Linked DNA regions of Callithrix jacchus. The protein of the gene in region 1 interacts with the protein of each later gene in a pairwise test. Links are inferred from orthologs where the notes say so. Each region holds a gene or a part of one and is shown in the gene's direction. Other genes may lie near its edges.

Region 1 (4,308 bases):
CTTTTTTTTTTTTGAGATGGAGTTTCACTCTTGTTACCCAGGCTGGAGTGGAATGGCGCGATCTCGGCTCACTGCAACCTCCGCCTCCTGGGTTCAGGCAATTCTCCTGCCTCAGCCTCCTGAGTACCTGGGATTACAGGCACGCGCCATCATGCCCAGCTAATTTTTCGTATTTTTAATAGAGATGGGGTTTCACCACGTTGACCAGGATGGTCTCGATCTCTTGACCTCGTGATCCACCCGCCTCGGCCTCCCAAAGTGCTGGGATTACAGGCGTGAGCCACCATGCCCGGCCCCAGAGAATTCTTAATGCATGAGTAAATACAGCATTCAGGCATTCCACGGGGTCACAGGGGCATGAATTTCAGTGCCTCTGATGAAGTGTGTGGAGAGAGAAGTCAGGAACTATAAACGTGGTTATTCCAGGCTCGAGCAATAGGGAGTAGTGAGGTCTGCAGCAAACTGGAGTCTGCATGGCTATCTGAGGGGCTCACAGTCAAATAAATCACCGCCCCCACCCTCCAGTCCCGACACACATAAAGGGCAGGGACCCATTCTGGTGCTGAGCAATCTCACTTCCTTTCCCTTCCTCCAGCTTTATTTTTCTTCTCTGTGCATACCACTTTAAAACACTCTTAGCTACCGACACTGAATGTCTGTCTTCCCTCGCACAGGTGAACTACGAGACGGCAGAGTTTTGCTTTGTCCCCTGCTGCAGCCCAGCCCCTCATCAGTGGCTGGCACAGAACAGGCCTTCAGTAGGCATGTGCCCCGCTACTCCCTGCAGCTTCCGGGCTCCAGGCAGCATTCAGGACTCAAGTCGGGAAGAGTGAAGGCCGTTGAGGACTTGTTAGGCCCCAACTCCCCCAGAGAACCCCAAGGGGACGGGAGCTTTGAGTTTTTTTGGCGACAGCCGGTCCTGCTGGAACTAGGACCTGAGGGTTAGTGACTCTGCCCCATGGGGTCACCGGGCAGAGGCTGCGGGCGGGAGTGGGCATCGCTGGGGCGGTGGTGCAGGCTCCCACGCACCTCTTCAACATGCCCATCACACAGGCACCCTCACGCACCAGGGGTCGCCGAGGCTCCGGAGCAGAGAAAAGGCCAAGGCGGTGGGGAGATGGGGAGACAGGCGGGGAGCAACACCCGGGGCTCCGAGCGCGCCAGCTGGGAGGGCTGGGAAGGAGGGTGCACGGGAGGGCTCCTGGCCCGCGCGGGCCCGCGGGCAGCCCCCGGAGGAGGGAATCGGGCAGGACGGCTGGGGCAGGGGGCGGCTGAAGCAGGGGGGAGCCGGACCCCACCCGCCACCCCCGGCGCCTGCCAAACTGGTGGCTGCCTCCCCGGCAGCCGCGGCGCGTCCACCTGCGCAGCCACCGCGCCGCCCTGCCCGAGCTGCCATTGGCTAGCTAAAAATGCCTCTCTAATCTGCGCGGCTCTGTGCACGCCTCCTCCTCATCCTTCCCCCCCGCTCCGCCTCGGCTCTGACCTTCCTCCTTCCCGCAGCCCAGGCGAGATCCCAGAGAGACGCGGTGGCGGTGGCAGCGCCAGCCCCTCCTCCCCCGGGAAGTCGGCCGGGCTTGAGGCCGGGCCCCAGACGTCCCGCTTCGCCCCGAGGCGCCGCCAATGGTGCCCCGCGCTCCTGCCCCCAGGTAGGGGGTCTGGCCCTTGAATAGAGGGTGGGGGGTTATGTGGGGGGCGTAGAGTTAGGGAGTGCGTGTTCGAAGTGGGCGCCGAGACTGGCATCTCCCTGGGCCAGAGCCCGGGGCGGGTTGGGCTGCTGTCTGGAGAGAAGTGCGTGCGCGCCCGGGGATGCTTTGCTGGGACCGGAGTTCGGGGGCATCACCCAGGCAGTGCTAGGATGCCCCTGCGCTGTGTCCATTGTGGGGGGACGAGCCGGCAACGGAGGCCTTTACCCCAGGAAAAGCGGCGGAAATAGGTTCCTGGGGAAGCTGGGGCCTGGGCTCGGGCGGTCCGGGTCTCTGGACTGCTACCAGAAGGGGTGGGTGGGCTGATGCCAGCTTGGTGCGTAGGCTATTTATGGATCAGAGTGGGCTGGGGAGAAACACAGCAGCTGATGCCTGTCTGGCTTATGGTTAAAGGTATTTCCTTCTGCCCCCTACCCCTTCCCCCACAGCTGGGATGGGAGGGGGAGGAGGCAAGAAGGAGGTGATGATGCTAAAAGGCCCGCAGTTACAGAAGCCACGGGCTGCTGGGCACTGCCCACCCCTGCAAGCCCCAGGCCACTTGCTGCCTGTTGAAGCTGTCTCTGCCCCTTATTTTCACCTTACAAGAGGCTATGAAAAGGTTAAAGGGTCATCAGGGTGTAGGGGACATGGTGGCAAACCCGGGAGCTTGGCCAGACCCAGCTTCAAGCCTCAGCTGCCCCTGCCCACAACAGCCCAGCTCTGCACCACATAGGTAGTGACATATATGGCCGCTTTTTTCTAGGCTCAACCATAAATAACCCACATTGCCCCAGCCCCTGGCATAGCTGGGGTGCAAACAGGACTATCCGTCAGTGATTTTGCTTCCACCCTCCACCGTGGCCTTTCCATTACATGTCCAAGTCACCCCTCTCAAGCCGCCCTTCCAGGCAGCTTCCCTGATACTTGCCCCCTCCCCTGTGCTCCTGGACTGCCTTGTGGCTGGGTTATTTGTCTTGTTTGTCTCCTTCTGGAGCAGAGTTATCTTCAGGGGAATCTGATTCATCTCTGTCATTGCCCCTGCACCAGAGCAGGGTTTGGCACCAAGTAAATAATTTGTGGAATGAATGATTGAGTGACTGAATGTGAACTCTGGGAAATAGCTGGCAATCCGAGGGAGGGGGTTGAGCCCACTCTTGGGCTTTCTCTCTATCCCCCAGGACCAAAGAGCCACCCAAACCAGACAGTTCTCTTGAGGCCCCTCCTAAGCCTGGAGTTGATGGGCAGCTATGGCTTTTGGAGATACTGTTGCAACCTGCTGGCTCCAGAGGGTCTTATGGGCCCCTGGTTTGAGTGTCCAGGCCTGGTCCTGGCTCTGGGGAAGGTCTGATGTGAAGGTCTGGCTCTCCTCAGGCTGCTGGGTTAGCACTTTCTTCCCGGGGTGCCAAGCTTAGAATAGGGTCTCTGCCTTGGTCGCAGCCCTTGGGAGGAAAATCCAGGTCAACAACAGGGAAGCTGGGAAGGCCCAAGCCAGGCCGTCCTCAGCGTCTGGGGTGTTCACAGCAAGCTCTCAGGGGTCTCATGACCCTCGTGTGTGGAGGAGCAAACCCAGTTCTGAGGAAGAGGCTGCTACCAAGGGTTCTGGCCCAGCCACGGGCCTGTGTCTGTGAAGGATGGCAACACCTCCAGGCTTAGGAGGGGCCTAGAGAGAACTGTCTGGTTTGGGTGGCTCTTTGGTTGTGGGGAATAGAGAGAAAGCCTCCCTCCCTCAGGTTGCCAGCTATTTCCCAGAGTTCACAGTCATTCAATCATTCATTCATTCCACAATGGCCCATGTTGCTATTTGACGTGGCTGTGCCACCGTCCCCATGCCCAGTCTAACTCTTCCTTCTTTGTTTTTTTGGAGATGGGGTTTCACTCTTGTTGCCCAGGCTGGAGTGCAGTGGTGCAATCTCGGCTCACTGCAACCTCCACCTCCCAGGTTCAAGTGATTCTCCTGCCTCAGTCTCCCAAATAGCTGGGATTATAGGCATGGGCCACCACACCTAGCTAATTCATATTTTTAGTAGAGATGGAGTTTCACCATCCTGGCCAGGTTGGTCTCGAACTCTTGACCTCGTGATCCACCCCCCTCGGCCTCCCAAAGTGCTGGCATTACAGGCATGAGCCACCATGCCTGGCCTCCGACTCTCCCTTCTCACTCTCACTCTGCCCCCCAGCTGCCCTGAGCTGCTTTCAGTTCCTCAAGCAAGTGGGGCTTCTGTCACCTGCAGGCTTTGCACAGGCTGTTCCTGCCTCCTCCTCTCCCTCCTCCTTCCCACCCAAATCTCTCACCCTCAGGAGTTCACTGAGACTCCTCTTCCTTCCAGAAGCTTCCCCAGCTTGGGTTGGGAGCCTCACCCATGAATCCCCTTCCTGCAGCCTGGCTGCCTCCCCTGGGAACCCTCCCTTCATACAGTGTCCTCTCGGGCTTCTGATCACCCCTCCCTGCTGGGCTGTGGGGTCTGTGGGTGCAGAGTCTGTGTGCTGTTTCCAGTGGCCCCTGGCGTGGCACAGAGAAGTCCCAGCTCTGGCTTGTGGAGTTGAGTGAGTGAGTGGCTACTGGTCTCATCATCTGCTTTCTCTCCTCACCAATATCAGGACACATTTTGCATTCTTCTTCTCCCAT
Region 2 (2,575 bases), on another chromosome or scaffold:
GGAAGACAGGTGTGAGCCACCACACCTGGTTTCAGAAAGTCCCCATCTTCCAGATGAGCTCACTGAAGCTTTAAGAGATGTGGTGACTCACACCTGTCATCCCAGCACTTTGGGAGGCCGACGTGGGTGCGTCACCTGAGGTCGGGAGTTCAAGACCAGTCTGACCAACATGGAGAAACCCCGTCTCTATTTAAAAAAATAAAAATATGGGAGGCTGAGGCGGGTGGATCACGAGGTCAAGAGATGGAGACCATCCTGGTCAACATGGTGAAACCCCATCTCTACTAAAAATACAAAAAATTATCTGGGCATGGTGGTGCGTGCCTGTAATCCCAGCTACTCGGGAGGCTGAGGCAGGAGAATTGCCTGAACCCAGGAGGCGGAGGTTGCGGTGAGCCGAGATCGCGCCATTGCACTCCAGCCTGGGTAACAAGAGCGAAACTCCGTCTCAAAAAAATAAAAATAAAAACAGAAAACAGGCTGTGGGCCAGGCATGACCCTCAGGCCAGAGTTTGCTAACCCAAGAGATGGGACCTTCCCTTGAAAGCCTTCCTCCCTGGCCTCTTCCTGCGGCTTCAGAGAGGTCCCTACCCCCAGCCCTGGGCTGAGGGTGACCACTGACAACCCCCCCACCCTCAGATCACAGAACTCTCCAAAGAAGTCTTCAGTCTTAAGGAGGCCTTGAAGGAGCAGCCGGCTGCCCTGGCCCCCCCTGAGGTGGAGGCTCTCCGTGACCAGGTGAAGGGTTTACAGCGGCAGCTGCAGGTAAGAGCTGGGCCGGGCAGGGGCAGAGGACCGTCAGGGCAGAGGAGTCCAGATAAATATTTACCAACCAGCTTGGCACAGGCGGGAATCCCAGGAGAGGGCTGGGGTAAGCAGGTGGGGCACACGTCACGTGCCCAGCGTGGCCAGGAAATATTTTCTTTATTTTTTTTTGAGACAGGGTCTCACTCCCTCACCCAGGCTGGAGTGCAGTGGGAAGATCTTGGCTCACTGCAGCCTCTGCAGCCTCCGCCTTCCAGGTTCAAGCAATTCTCCTGCCTTAGTGTCCTGTGTAGCTGGAATTACAGGCACACACTACCAAACTGGGCTAATTTTTGTATTTTTAGTAGAGATGGGTTTTCGCCATGTTGGCCAGGTCTCGAACTCCTGGGCTCCCCCCAGCCTCTCAAAGTGTTGGGATTACAAATATGTGCCACTGTGCCCAGCCATATTTCCATATTTTAGCAGCCTGCCATCGCCTGGTGTATGCCATCAAAATACAGGCTTGGGGTACAAAGGGCGCTTTTTGGTGTGTCTTCCTCAGCGGGGAGGTGGTCCTGCTTTTCTGAGTGTCCCTCCCTCATACCCACAGGAAGCTGCCAGGGACCACTCCAGTGTGGTGGCTTTGTACAGAAGCCACCTCCTGTACGCCATTCAGGTGAGTCGCCTAGCTCCCAGGTGCCTGTGTGGCTTTGGGTGTGCCATTGTTGCTCTCTTGGCCTCAGTTTCCCCTTCTGTACAGTGGGAGGCTGGTCCCAGGGAGCGGTTCATGGCATGTTGGAGCCTGCATCTGAGCATTTCCCTCCTGGCTGGCTTGGTCTGTGGGAGTGGCAGAGGGGCCTGGGGAAGCCACTGGGGGTGCACTCAGGGTCTCCCTCTATTCCCCATCCTAGGGCCAGATGGATGAAGAGGTGCAGCAGATTCTCAGCCAGATTCTGCAGATGCAGAGACTCCAGGCTCAGGGCCGCTGAGAAAGGCCGCGCCCAGTGGCCACACAGCACACCCACGCAGGGCCTCGCCCCACTGCAGTCCCCTTGCAGACCCACTTCACTTGGCTTCACCCAGCCCCATCCAGGCCTATGCACTTGGAGGCCAGCCTGGGTCCCTGCCCCAGCGTCCCCAGCTGGCTCCATCGCCCCACCTGGTCTCTGCACGCACACACTGGTCAGTCTGGACCCAGGGCGTGACTGCCCTCCTCTTCCACCAGAGAATCTGTGAGTCCCTGTGTCCTCCACATCCAGACGCCAGCCCAGGAATAAAGGCATTGTGTGCACAGGACCAAGGCGTGTGGTGTGGTTGCTGGGCTTCTGCTGCTGGGAGGGGAAGGGGTGGCCCAGAAAAGGAAGCATTCATGCCCCCTCCCTCTGCCCCACCCAGCAAATCAGCCATCAGGACAAACTCAACCCTTTTTTTTTTTTTTTAAATGTGGAGTCTCGCTCTGTCACCCAGGCTGGAGTGCGGCGGTACACAATCTTGGCTGACTACAACCTCTGCCGCCCGGGTTCCCGTGATTCTCCTGCCTCAGCCTCCCGAGTAGCTGGGACTACAGGTGCCCAGCACCATGCCTGGCTAATTTTTTTTTTTTTGAAATGGAGTTTTGCTCTTGTTGCCCAGGTTAGAGTTCAGTGACTAGATATTGGCTCACTGCAGCCTCCACCTCCCCGGCTCAAGCAATTCTCCTGCCTCAGCCTCCCAAGTAGCGGGCATTATAGGCACCTGCCACCACACCTGGCTAGTTTTTTTTTGCATTTTTAGTAGAGATGGGGTTTCACCATGTTGGCCAGGCTGGTCTCGAACTCCTGGCCTCAGGTGA
Region 3 (4,161 bases), on another chromosome or scaffold:
GAAACTAATTAAAGATTTTATCTTGTCTTGTGATTGAAAGATATGACTTTAAAGAAGTTTCACTGTTACTCAATATTTGTTGCAAGCAACTGTAAAAGCTTGCATAGCTTCACATTCAGAAGCATAAATGATTCATGAAATTGTTTAACCAGAGTTATTATTTAAAGACTAAAATCCAGGGGTATTTAAATAAATTGCATTACTATTAGTTAAGCTCTCTAAAAGCAACTTTTTCTAATATGGTTCCAGTATTGTAATCCAAATGAGTCATGTGGTTTTTTCTTTTTATGTGCAAAGATGCACTGAAAGGACTACATAATGCACTGGAAGAAATAAATACTAATGCCTGCCTATGATAGGCAAATAGTACATTGCTAGACATTCAGTTCAGCAATCTTTTTTTGTTGCTGCAATGGATAAACAACTAAAGGATAATTAATATTTAATTTTAATATCTTCCAACTGTTACTCTATCAGTGGCTAACACAGGTTTATTACTTGATGTCAGTACTACAGCAGAGGTCTTCTTCAGGGTGTTCCTTCATGTAAGATCTCTCCGTCAGTTTAATGCAAATATCTGTTTTTAAATGTAATTTTGAGTTGATTTCTTAATGTCACATTTTTTTCTGAAAACACATTTTTGGTTCCATCAGAATGGCTTGCACCTTAAAACAATTGGCACTTATAAAAAATATAAAATATGCAAATATATTACGGTGGTACTAATGTGATTGCGGTTTTGTCATTACTTTTAAAATGGCAAAAAGCCGCAGTAACTTTTACCTAGTACCTGTCAGGTGTAAAGAATCATCTAAAGGGCATGCACGTGGATACTAAAACGTACAAGCACACAGCTGTGTATGATTCCTTTATGCTTGTAACACTTCCAATAAGTGAATAAAATCTATCACTTAATTCTTACAGACTGTCATCAGACATACTGTTGACCAGTTTTCATGTCACAACTGTTATAGGCTTTTACAAAAAATGCCTCTGAAGACAGGCAAGCTTAAACCTGCCACCAATTAGTAAGATCTGTGTTACAGGTGCACTTTTAAAAGAATGGCAACCTTAGAGGTCAAGTTAAAAATACAAGCTAAGAAAAACACACACACACAATCCTGGACGTCGAAGGTCAGACTGCAGGCCCCACTCTGAGAGTTTCTGTCCGCATTCCGCGGAGGCCCCAATCCTCCCCTCGGGTCCTGGCCAGGCAGGTAACTTCCCTTCCTCCCCACCTGTCCTGCTCTGGCGCAGCAGGCTTCCCGAAGCGCAGCCCTAGCGGTGGGAATGGGAACACCTTGCCTGGGAGCTTCCTTTCGGTTCAGCTTCCCCCCAGCTGGACCCCAAACCCCGAAGCCCTGGGGGAAGGAAATTCCAACTCGCTCCCGGCCCACCCCCGCCCCGTTCCTCTCTCCGGCTCGCTGCTTCCCTCGCTCAGATGCCGCCGAGCTCGTCCCCACTTCTGGGCAACCGTGCGGCAGAGGCGGCGGCGAGCTCCCGGACTCCCGGCAGGGAAATGGGGCAGGGTGAGTGAGCGAGCGGGCTCCAGCGAGGCCCCCAGCGCCCAGCGAGCGCCCACACCCCGCCCGCGGGGCAGGGGAGGCGCTGAGTCGGCCCGGCCCGCTCTGGGCTAAGCCTCGCAGGGGCTGCGGCTTCTCCATTCAAGTTCTGGCTTGAGAGCCGAGCTGCCGCCTGAGGGCCGGGGGAGGGAAGAGTAGGAGAGGAAGTCGCGAGGGAGAACAGGAGAGCTACTGTCTCCTTCGGAAAAGAACGTAGGAAGGAGCCTTGGGTGGGAAAAAGAGAGATCAGCCCTCCCAACTTCTCTTCGGGAAAACTTTTCCCAGGGCGTTTTGTTTGTGCAAACTCGGCCGGAGGAGCCCGGGAGTGCGCTGCCGGCGTGGCGGCGTTGCCCGTGCACCCGGCCCGCTCCTCCTCCGCTTCCAGCCGGGGCAGCTCCTCTCCCTCCCAAAGAGGCGCCAAATGGCTACTCACTAAACCCCACGGGGCGGGGGCTGCAGCGCCACCTCCTCCTCCGCCGTACTCCTAGAGCTTGCTAGACCTTGCGGCGACGGCGGCGGTGGCGCCCGAGGGTTTGGAGCCTCGGCCCGCAGGTGGAAAGCGCACCCGGGAGGCGGGCCGGCCGGGGCTGGGGCGGCTCGGGCGGGCTCTTGACGCTCAGCCAGCCCCGCTCCGGCCTCGTGAAAGCGCGCGTCCCGCCCTGACCCGCTGGCCTCTCCCACCCCAGCAGTGACGCGCCGTCTCGGAGCTGGAGCCCGCGCAACGCCCCGCAGGGCTATGGACGGCCGAACCCCGCACTCGCAGGACGCCCAGGCGGCGCCCACGCCGCTCGCCGCCCCAGCCGGGTAAGCATAGAGCGCCGCGCCGCCGCTCCCCGGGTAGGGCGAGGACCCGAGGCCGCGGCGGTTTCACCTGGCTGGCAACTGTCTGCCCTGCCGGCGGCCTGACTCACTGGCCGCCCTCCACGCAGCCGGGGAGGCTGCTTCTTCCCGGCCTTCTCGGAGGCCACCCGGGCGGAAGGCTGGTTTTTGGTTGCCTTCCTACCGGGGCTGCCCGGATTGCTGAAGGCCAGCTGAATGCCAGGAATTGGGTGAGGAGTCCGGGAGCAAAAACTCTAACAAAGGGCCCCTTGTTTGGGCTCTGGAGGAGCGGTGGACGATACCTGTAAGTGAGCTCCTGGGAAGAGGGCAAAAGTTTCCTTGGCCATGGGCGAGGCCCAGGCAGGTGAGCAGTGTCAACGTGACTGTAAGGAGTGGGCTTTCTGCAAGAGGGTGGAGGGCGACGGAAGGTGTGCCAGCTGTCAGCCCGCTTGACAGTTCCGGGAGCGAGCGGGGTGCGCGCCTCTGATTGGGGGTGTGTGTGTGCCTGTGGCCAATTGCTGGTGCCAAAACCAAGCGCAAATCAGATTGCAAACAACTCTACTTTTCTTTTTATCCTCACATGTTTGAGAAGAGATTGGAGGGGAAGGGGCTGTCACATGATGAGTTAATGTTAAATGAAGCATGTCTTCCTGCCAGATATGCGAATAGTCACCTTGCTAAGTATTTGAGTAAACAGTAGTGGGAACAGGTAGTTCTGCAAAAGATGAAAAAAACCCTAAAATAACCTTGGTCTTAGTAAATAGTTCAGGAGTAACTTGGATGCTAGTTTAGCTCCTGAAGTGGGAAACCCCTTTGATGTAGTACACCTTTTTTTTCCCCAAGTGTTCTCCCAACGTGGTTTATTTTCTTTACCTGAACGCAGAAATGTCCTAATGAGAATATGAGCATTCTAGAAATAGAAACGTTAAGGAAAAATCGACGTTGTCACTAATGAATGAGACTTGTACGGTTTTCCTGATTTAAGAGTGTGGAAGTCATTTTTCCCTGGAACACGACAGGCGTTTCCTTAGAAGCAAGTCACAGCATGTGTATTCATCAGAGACTATTCGAACATTGGCAGTTGTCTAGAGGAAACATGGAAAAGTCTCAAAGCAACATGACTAATCTAAAAGATATTTAGTATAATTTTTACATAGAGGAAACATGTATATGAATTAATTCTTTCATTTTGCTCCAGTTAGCTTTCTCCTCTCCAAATAGTCCTCTTGCTTTTGACTTTCATTTATCTTTCCCCAAGTTTTTCATTGTTTAAATTATCATATATTCTTCCATACGTTCTCACGTTAAGATGAGTAAAGAAATATATTGGTAGAAAGATACTGAGCATAAAAGCAAGGTTCCTAAGTGGAGCTGCAGAATTATGTGAATTGATGATGAGACAGATTTCCGATTGTAAAATAAGATAGAATTAAATTAGATTTTGAAATGGATTAGGTTAAGGAACTTTAAAAAACAAAGATAGAAAAACATACCTGCTTTCACAAAATACACCCATGGGTGTTCAGAAGTCACTGGGGACTTTTAAATAAATTGATGAGGTCAGATGGCTCTGTGTTAAAGAAATGGAAAAACACTTTTAGTGGCAAGGATGACTATAGTAAGAGCCTTCAGATGTTACTCTTGATTTTCTGTTTTAATGTAGACATAAGGTCTTGCTTGCTATGTTCCCTAGGCTGATTTTAAATCGCTGGCTTCAAGCAATCTCACCTTGGCCTCCTAAAGTGTTGGGATTACCAGCATGAGTCAGTGCACCCAGCCC
Region 4 (3,549 bases), on another chromosome or scaffold:
TATTAGACTGTTTATATTATTCCCACCCACATGTTCCCCCACTTCCCTCACAGTGATTACTATTTCTCTAGCTTTAGGGCACTTCCAGTCCTGTATAACTTTTCACCCACCTGCGGACTATGGGGACTGCCCCGCTGACTGAAAGGATTTCCTTCCCCTGACACAGAGATGCTTTGAAGTCCCAAAACAATGACTTTCATTGCTTTTCCCCTATATTGTCAGTTTCTATAAATTGGTGATGAAAGTGTATGGCAGCACCAGAGGACTTTTGGTCTCTATCTTTGAACAAAAGGAAGCCTGGATCAGGTCTGATTTTTTTGCGTTCAATTTAGCTTTCTGCAGTGGATTTAATGCAGAATGAAGCTGGCCTAAGAATAATACAATAGATTGAAAAGGCTAACTGAATTAGTGGGTTTAGGGGAATACATTTGTAAAGTGGCAGAAGTCCCTAGTCATAAAAAGGTTTGTTAAGATGGGATTTGCTGGCTAATCGCACTGATATTTTAGCATGTTGCCAGGCCTAAAAAAATTTAGCTGTGTTTGTTTATTTTGGTAAAGACTCGAGTTTTAGACCATTGGATAGTTATAACAGTAGAACTCTATTTTTCTTTAAAAAAAAATAGAATCAAAGCCAAAATTGTTTCTATCATAACTATATAGCTAGGATATTATAAGCATGATGTTAATGATAAATGTATTAGATAACTTTAAAAAAATGAAATAGTGTTATTTTCATTATTATGCTTTATCTGTACAGATAAAATTGGTTTTGCTTTCCAAAACACTCTTAAATAGTAGTCTTTAAAGTTATTCCAACAAAAGGTGTGCTTTAAACAGCTTTTCTTTGTATGAATCCTTTTAGTTAAGATTTTGAAAATGGTGTTTATAAAAACATATAGAGTCCATCTGTTCTCTTGAAGCTTTCAACATTGATTTGGGTTTTTATTTTTTTAATAAAATGCAGTTTACACATTTATAAATGAGGCATTCTGTGTTTGTGGAAAAGGATAAACTGTTACCTTCCCCTGAGGATTCTGTATCCCAGGCCTCCTTGAGGCTAGAGAATAGGCCATTGGAGGGCTCCCTCATTACCGATTGTCTCAATGCAAGGGAAGGGCAAAGTCTTGGTAGCTTTTGATAACCAGTTTCAGCATTCAGCAGGCTTAGCTATTAGTCATGCATCTTAGCCTTTCCCTATTTACTTTCAAAACACTTAATAAAAATAATAAAAGATTAGGTATAAAATGAAATATTTGTTTGGTACACAGCACTTCGGTATCTGCAGCTTCCACACACTGCAGTGGTTCAGTCTTCTGGGATATTTCTTGTTGATAGAACCATTTGAATTTGTTACCAGTATTAACATAGGAAGCTCCGGAAAAGATAATTGTAGTTTCCTTAGCTGTAAAGGGCTTACTTACAAATCTGGCTTTGGAAAGTTATAGCTGATGAAATGCAGTTCAGTGGGGTAGTATTATAATCCTACCTTTTAGCCTTCATCCAGCATTAGTGGTTTATCTCAATGGACATAAAATTAGAAACTAGTTCTCGTTGTCATACAAGTCTGTGGGGCTGTACAAACCGATGACACAGAATAGTGGGGGAAATAGGAGGCAACATGGCTTTTAAATGATATGTATCACTGGGGGAAGGCACATTTGCATCAAAGTTATCAAGAGTAAAACCATGTGTCCCAAAGTTTGTGATTACAGGCAACAGAACTTGCAGTTGAGCTGTTGAAAGTGCTTTAAAATCTTTTTCTTGCAAAAAGTTTCTAAATCATTGTTATCCTAAATCAGTAAAAGTTGCCTTACTAATGCGTATTTTTATGTTTATGAGATCAGAACTCTCTTATTATGTGTTGTTTTACTTTTAGAATGGCACAGAAGATCTCCAGACTGAACGATTACAAAAAACAACAGAACGTTTTAGAAATCCTGTTGTGTTCAGCAAAGATTCTACAGTCAGAAAAACTCAACTTCAGTCTTTCAGCCAATATATTGAGAATAGACCAGGTAGAAATACTTTTTAAAATATTTTCCCATCTTTCTTATTATTTAACTATATATATATATATACACATATATATATGTATATATAAAATAAATGTATATATAGTGTTTTATATATATGTGTGTATATATATATGAAAGCTGGTAATGTAAATCTACATTTCAATACACAAATATCAAGCTTTATAATAATTTTACATGTCTTTCCTCTTTTTTTTTTAAGAGATGAAAAGGCAGAGATCAATACAGGAAGATACAAAGAAAGGAAATGAGGAGAAGGCAGCGATAACTGAAACTCAGAGGAAGCCATCAGAAGATGAAGTGCTTAATGTATATTAATTTTTTGTGTGGTTTCATGATTGCTGATAATTCCAAACTGTATGTGGAAATAGTGCCTTTATTTGTTAAAATGAGATGTTAGGTTTTTTAAGATGTCAATCTCCAGTGCATTCAAAGCAGAGTGAGAGGGGTGCACTGTTGAATTAGTCTGCAGTGTGGTGATAATTGTCAGATAAAAAAAAATGAATTTTTCAGAGTTCCACAGCCCCAGTTTCCTTGAGACATTTCCATCAGGGCACTTCCCATAAAGAGATTCCAGTATTGATCTACCGGGAGGATTTTAATTATTACAATAGCAGATACCGCAGAGCTGCAGTTAGAGGGAAAAGTCACATGAGACCTGCTAGAATTTCTCAGCCAACCCATTTTGTTGGCTTGGGTTAATGGGTGTTCAACCTTTCCATTATCCAGATCAGCCGTGAATTACTAGCTGAATGATGTTTGCATTAATATAATATATATGGTAATTTCTTCACTTAATTAACGGGGAGGTTCAGCTCAGTAGGGGTATGGGCTGATCATGTGTAAAATTGATTTGTGAGGGAAATATTTGATAGACCGCAGGGAGAAAGCTGCTTTTGATGGACAGCTGCGGGACAGAAGCAGGAAGAACAAGTTTTAACTTGAATTTTTGTCTGGAAGCATAGCTCTCTTTAATAGTACTACTTTTTAAATTATCTACAGTTTTTCTAAATATTTTCATTGTTTTCAGTGTTAAGATAGTCTTTGTTGGATTTTAAAATCCTTACAACTACACTCCGTGTCACCAACTACATTTTAGAACTCTAAAATCTCATTTTAAGTTGCTTACTTTAGAAGACCTGAAAAGGTATGAGCTAGAAAAAAAGAGCTCACTGAAAATCCTGATGAAGTATTTGGTATAACTTTTAAGTTACAGAATACTTAACTCTACTGAGTACTCACACTAAAGAAACCTGATTATGAAATTTCTTTCTATTTTTAACTGAACCAATCAGTAAGAGCAATGAAGTTTATGTGTTGCTTATCACTTCTGCTTCCTTATATATATATTTTTTGTATTGTCTTTGTAAACTACTATATTTGTTTTGTCAGTCTATATGGGAATGAGAAAAGAAAACATCCCTTTTGAAAATGCTCTGCTGTCTGTCAGATTCAAGAAGGATTCACCAGATTATCCCAGATTTTAAAGTTACTGTTGGCATTTATTCTGTTATTG
Region 5 (4,345 bases), on another chromosome or scaffold:
TGATCACGGCTCCCTGTAACCTCAACCACCTCAACTTCACCGTAGACTCAGGCTATCCTCCCTGCCTGCCCCCATCTGGAACTACAAGTGTGTGCTACCATGCCCTGCTAATTTTCTGTTTGGTAGAGTGTTCTCCTGAGTTGTACAGGCTGGTCTCCAACTCCTGGGCTCAAGACTCCTCCGGCGGTGGCCTCCCTGAGTGCTGGGTTTACAGGTGTAAGCCACTGTGTCCCACTCGGAGTTTTAGACACAGAGGCCAGGAAAGTCTTCCTGGGGAGACCACGGGATAAGAAGGAGCAGGAGGAGAGCACTATGGAGGAGCATCCCAGCCAGAGGCCCTGAGCCGGAACAGGGCTCCACTCAGGTGGAGAAAATGGGAGGTTGGGCTGCGGGGCAGTGAGCCCCAAGGCCATCGCAAGACTTCGGAAACCGTTCTAGGTGGGAGCTAGGGAACCCCCAAGATCTGCCAGCCACGGCAAGGACTCACATTTTGCATCTAGACTGGTCTCCCTCCTCCTTCAGTTAATGAGAAAGCAGGGGATCAGAGGGAGGAAGGCTCCGCAGGCCTCCGGATACCTCATCCAGTGACAAGATCTCAAGGGAAGCAACACCTCCAACGCTGATCACCGTGCAGGCCTGGCCTCTTGCTGGTCTTTTACTCGAGTTATTGAAACCATATGAAACTGCCACTTTTATAGGTCAGTCCATCATACCAACCAGGATCTGGGAGAGTGGAGGTGAAGTTCCGCACATCAGGGACCTCTGGCTGGCTTGCTCTGGGCCCCGGGGTGGCCGGCAGGACCTGCATATATGCCCGCCAGCCTGCATTGGAGTGGTAGAGTTGTGCCACAGAAGCGCCCAGCTGATCAGGTGCATTAACCCAGAGCGACTGAGTTGTTAGCAAAGCGAGGCCGCGCTCCAGCCCACATTGTTTCTGATTCCATGGGACCCGGTGGGGCCCCTAAATCTGCATTTCTAACAAGTTCCCAGGTGTTGCTGACGCTCGCGGTAGGGACTCCCACTTTGCGACCCCACGCACTAGACATCTGTTGCTCGGATAAAGGTCAGAGAGCAGCGCCGGACACACGCTTCTCACCCTCCAACCTCTGCGCTCCGGCGCTGGTCCGCCCACCTCGCCCTAGCACGGCCTCTAGGCTCCAGGTGGTTCCCCTCCCCCAGCTCCGCCCGGGAGGGGACGGCCCCGGGTTCCCCCGCTCCGCCCAGACAGGGGCGCGCTCCCCGCAAAGTGGAGGAGCCCGGGGATAAGCCCTCTGCAGAGCCGCGGTGTCCGTGCAGGGGCCAGGTGTCAGGAGACTATTTCCTCGGACGCGTGCCCCGGGACTGGCCCGGGCTCGGGTCGGGGCAGGCGGGGCGGGGCGGGGCGTGGGCGGCGCTCCGGTGGGCGCGGCGGAGCCAGCCGGGGCGGGGGCGCGGCGCACCTTGCTCCCGGCGCCCCCGCCCCGCGCCGCCGCCAGCCCCTCCCAGCGCGCCCGGCGCCCCCGCCCGCCAGAGACGGTTCCTGCCCCTTCCGTCCGCCCGGCTCCGCCGCTGTCCTCCGCCGGCCCGCGTGGGAGGACGATGGGTCAGCGCGGAAAAAGTGAATGAGGGCGGCAGCGGTGGCGGCCGCAGCCAGCGCCTAACTCGCGGGGCCCGATCACCGCCAGTGCCCCAGCCCCCGGCACCATGGACGCGTCGCGCGCCTTGGCCGCCAAGCCCCCGACCGGGTAAGCCGCCCCGAGGCCAGGAGGGGTGGGGTGGGGCGGGGGCTTCGCGGGGCTCGGACGCCCGCGCCCGCACCTCGCGCTCCTGGGCTGGGCGCCCTCTCTGCTGCCCCAGCGGGTGCTGGTGATAGTGGTGGAGCAGGTGCTGCGGTGCTGGTTTTGGGTGCTGGTGTTGGGTGGTGGTGCGTGCTGTGTACTTTGGGCGCCCGGGTCGTTGCCCAGGTAACCGTGTCCGGCTAGGGCCGGAGCGCACTTTTCGCGCTGGGTGGCTTGTGTGCCAAAGTCCTTATAGGGGTCCCCGCCAGCACCACCCCCATTCAGCTCGGAGCTCCCCTCAGGCCCCCCGAATGTTTGCCCTAGGGGCGGTGGGGGAGCGAGGGGACTCCCGGCCTTTGACTTCGGCAGCTTCCGTGCGGGCTTGTCCCCGGCCGGAGTTCTGACCAAGTCTTCCCTCCTCCGGTGGCGGCACCCCCTGGGTCGGCTCTCTGGCGGAGTGGAGGGTAGGGCTTCGCGGCCACCCGGGCCCCACGCTCTCGGGAGCTACTCGGATTGCCCGGAGGGTTTCATGGTAACGGCTCTCCCTCCCTGTCTTTATTCCAGTGGAAGGGGCGCGCTGGTGGGGCCAGGCCTGAGGCGCAGATCCCCGAAGCGGACCCGCGAGTCAGGGCGCCCATCCCTGTCTTCGCGATTCGGCTTCTGCCCAGACCTCTCCCAGTTTCTGTTTACCGTCCCCACACCTTGCGTGCAGGGATTACACGTCACCTTCAGGATTTGACTCGCAGAAAGAGTAATTTCCCTCATACAGCGCGAGCAGCCCCGCTCTTTATCCGGATCCCGCGCCAGGTGCCCGGCATCCCGGCGGGCCGCGCAGGCTGGGCCCCGGGGTCGCTCACAGTCCGGGAGGACTTAGTAGATTTCAGCGCCGCGCGCCGGGGACCTTCGACCTCGCTCGCTCGCCTGGAGCACATGTGTATGAGTCTTGCAAATGGAATGAGGGTTGGGGGAGCCCTGCACCTGCTTACCGAGTGGGCCCACTTTCTGCTATGGCAACTGGACTTGAGGGAGGCAGCTTTGGGGACAACAAATCTTTTTTTCTTTTACAGTTGTGTCCTACTGACTCACCCTGCCCATGTGCCCATAGGCAGACGTGTTGCCCAAGTGTATAAAAGACTTTCAGTCGGGCTCTTTTTTAAATTTTAGAGTTTTTCTTTAATGCCAGGAAAAAGTGAGCCCGGTTAGCAAATCGAATAATCCTGAAGCTGAGGAAAGTTAAAAAGAAGTTTTCTTTTCTTTTTCTTTCTTTCTTTTTTTTTTTTTTTTGCAGTGCACTTAGCGGTGGTTATGTAATTCTCTTTGAATAAACAAATTCCCCAGAAAGAAAATAAATGTGGGAAATCCTTTTTCATGGTAATAGACATCCCAAAATAACATAGGGAAATGTGAAACAGAGGTATCTTTAAATCTGTGGCTTTCATAGCCTATTAAATGAACCTATTTAAGGAGACTGAATTATTTTGTCACTATTACCTTATAAATAAATATGAAGACAGAGAGAACATTTAAAAGGCCGGCAAAACTGTATTCAAAGAGTATCTGTAAAATCCTTGAACGGAGTCTGATGATAGAAGTGAAAGGACGGACCCTAAGTCGTGGCACTCTTTTCAGCCTGGTACTGTGTAGCGAGAGGTAGTCCAGGGCTGGCCTTCTCACTGCCTCCCGGAGCTCCGATTGGCCTTCGCATTTGAATGGCAAAGGAAAGCGAAGGATTTTTGCTATGGAGAACCTGAAATTATTACTCCTGATGCATTCAGTTCTTTTCCCTTACTCATCCATAGTCCAGTTTTCTTGTCCAGACATCTTTGTCCAAGAAATCTAGACATACTATTTTTAACTTCTGTTGTTCTCAATTACTTTGTCATTTTTTAATACTTTCAGTGAAGAAACATCAAGAAAATACTAATATCCTTATATTTCTTCAGACAAAAATTACATATTTAATAAGAAGCAATTTTGTGTTCAAATCTGAAGAAATAAATAGTATTAGGTCTTTGAGCATTTTATATAATTATGGTGTATGCTTGCTAATTATAAAGGTTAGATATTGCCGTCAAGTATCTGACTTTAGCACATTACTGGTGGCAGTCAGAATCTACTGGCTCTTCACTGAGTTTACTCCTTTGCAATGTGCTTGAGGGAAATTTGTTTTCTATCTGATTCTGCAACTGTTGATTAAAAAATCAAACTTTCGGTAAGCCACCCTCTTCCCACGTGATAACAAACTGATACGGCGGAGCTGCGGCTGTTGCTGAAACGACCACTCCTCCTTGTGTTGTGTACAAAGAAGCTAGACTGGGTGCAGTGAATTAAGATTTCACCCTGTAAAGTATGGCCTACAAACGCTCTTCTAGAGGTTTACTGGAGGGGAGATAGGTTGGTGAATGTAAACTCACTGACTCTATGTCTGGCTAAATTATTAACAGGTAGTTATTAGTTATCTTTGTGAAAAACACAAGTACACATTTTTACTTGGATTGAAATTGCATGCTTTTTACTAGGAATTTTGTTAAAACAGTGACGTATGACTACTTGACTCCCGGGGAAACTGTGCTTTTAGGAAAGACGCT

Evidence for each region.
Region 2: the proteins of PACSIN1 (region 1) and ANKRD24 interact in a two-hybrid assay, tested with the Homo sapiens proteins (2 studies listed by BioGRID and IntAct). The link is inferred for Callithrix jacchus from reciprocal best matches to the Homo sapiens genes PACSIN1 and ANKRD24.
Region 3: the proteins of PACSIN1 (region 1) and COBLL1 interact in binary tests that used the Homo sapiens proteins (3 or more experiments, as listed by UniProt). The link is inferred for Callithrix jacchus from reciprocal best matches to the Homo sapiens genes PACSIN1 and COBLL1.
Region 4: the proteins of PACSIN1 (region 1) and EHBP1 interact in a two-hybrid assay, tested with the Homo sapiens proteins (2 studies listed by BioGRID and IntAct). The link is inferred for Callithrix jacchus from reciprocal best matches to the Homo sapiens genes PACSIN1 and EHBP1.
Region 5: the proteins of PACSIN1 (region 1) and COBL interact in binary tests that used the Homo sapiens proteins (3 or more experiments, as listed by UniProt). The link is inferred for Callithrix jacchus from reciprocal best matches to the Homo sapiens genes PACSIN1 and COBL.

The regions. Positions count from the first base shown.
Region 1 is NC_133505.1:42,732,213-42,736,520, forward strand, and holds the start of PACSIN1 (protein kinase C and casein kinase substrate in neurons protein 1), read left to right. Parts: upstream 1-1,480; 5' UTR 1,481-1,646; intron 1,647-4,308. UniProt on the Homo sapiens protein: Plays a role in the reorganization of the microtubule cytoskeleton via its interaction with MAPT; this decreases microtubule stability and inhibits MAPT-induced microtubule polymerization.
Region 2 is NC_133523.1:3,967,478-3,970,052, forward strand, and holds the end of ANKRD24 (ankyrin repeat domain-containing protein 24), read left to right. Parts: intron 1-639; coding exon 640-765; intron 766-1,354; coding exon 1,355-1,420; intron 1,421-1,655; coding exon 1,656-1,733; 3' UTR 1,734-2,040; downstream 2,041-2,575. UniProt on the Homo sapiens protein: Component of the stereocilia rootlet in hair cells of inner ear.
Region 3 is NC_133507.1:64,780,071-64,784,231, forward strand, and holds the start of COBLL1 (cordon-bleu protein-like 1), read left to right. Parts: upstream 1-1,341; 5' UTR 1,342-1,441; coding exon 1,442-1,529; intron 1,530-2,058; exon of another isoform or gene 2,059-2,248; coding exon 2,249-2,366; exon of another isoform or gene 2,367-2,745; intron 2,746-4,161.
Region 4 is NC_133515.1:51,123,021-51,126,569, reverse strand, and holds part of EHBP1 (EH domain-binding protein 1), read left to right. Parts: intron 1-1,876; coding exon 1,877-2,015; intron 2,016-2,235; coding exon 2,236-2,342; intron 2,343-3,549. UniProt on the Homo sapiens protein: May play a role in actin reorganization. Links clathrin-mediated endocytosis to the actin cytoskeleton. May act as Rab effector protein and play a role in vesicle trafficking.
Region 5 is NC_133512.1:18,653,788-18,658,132, reverse strand, and holds the start of COBL (protein cordon-bleu), read left to right. Parts: upstream 1-1,508; 5' UTR 1,509-1,683; coding exon of another isoform or gene 1,684-1,724; intron 1,725-4,345.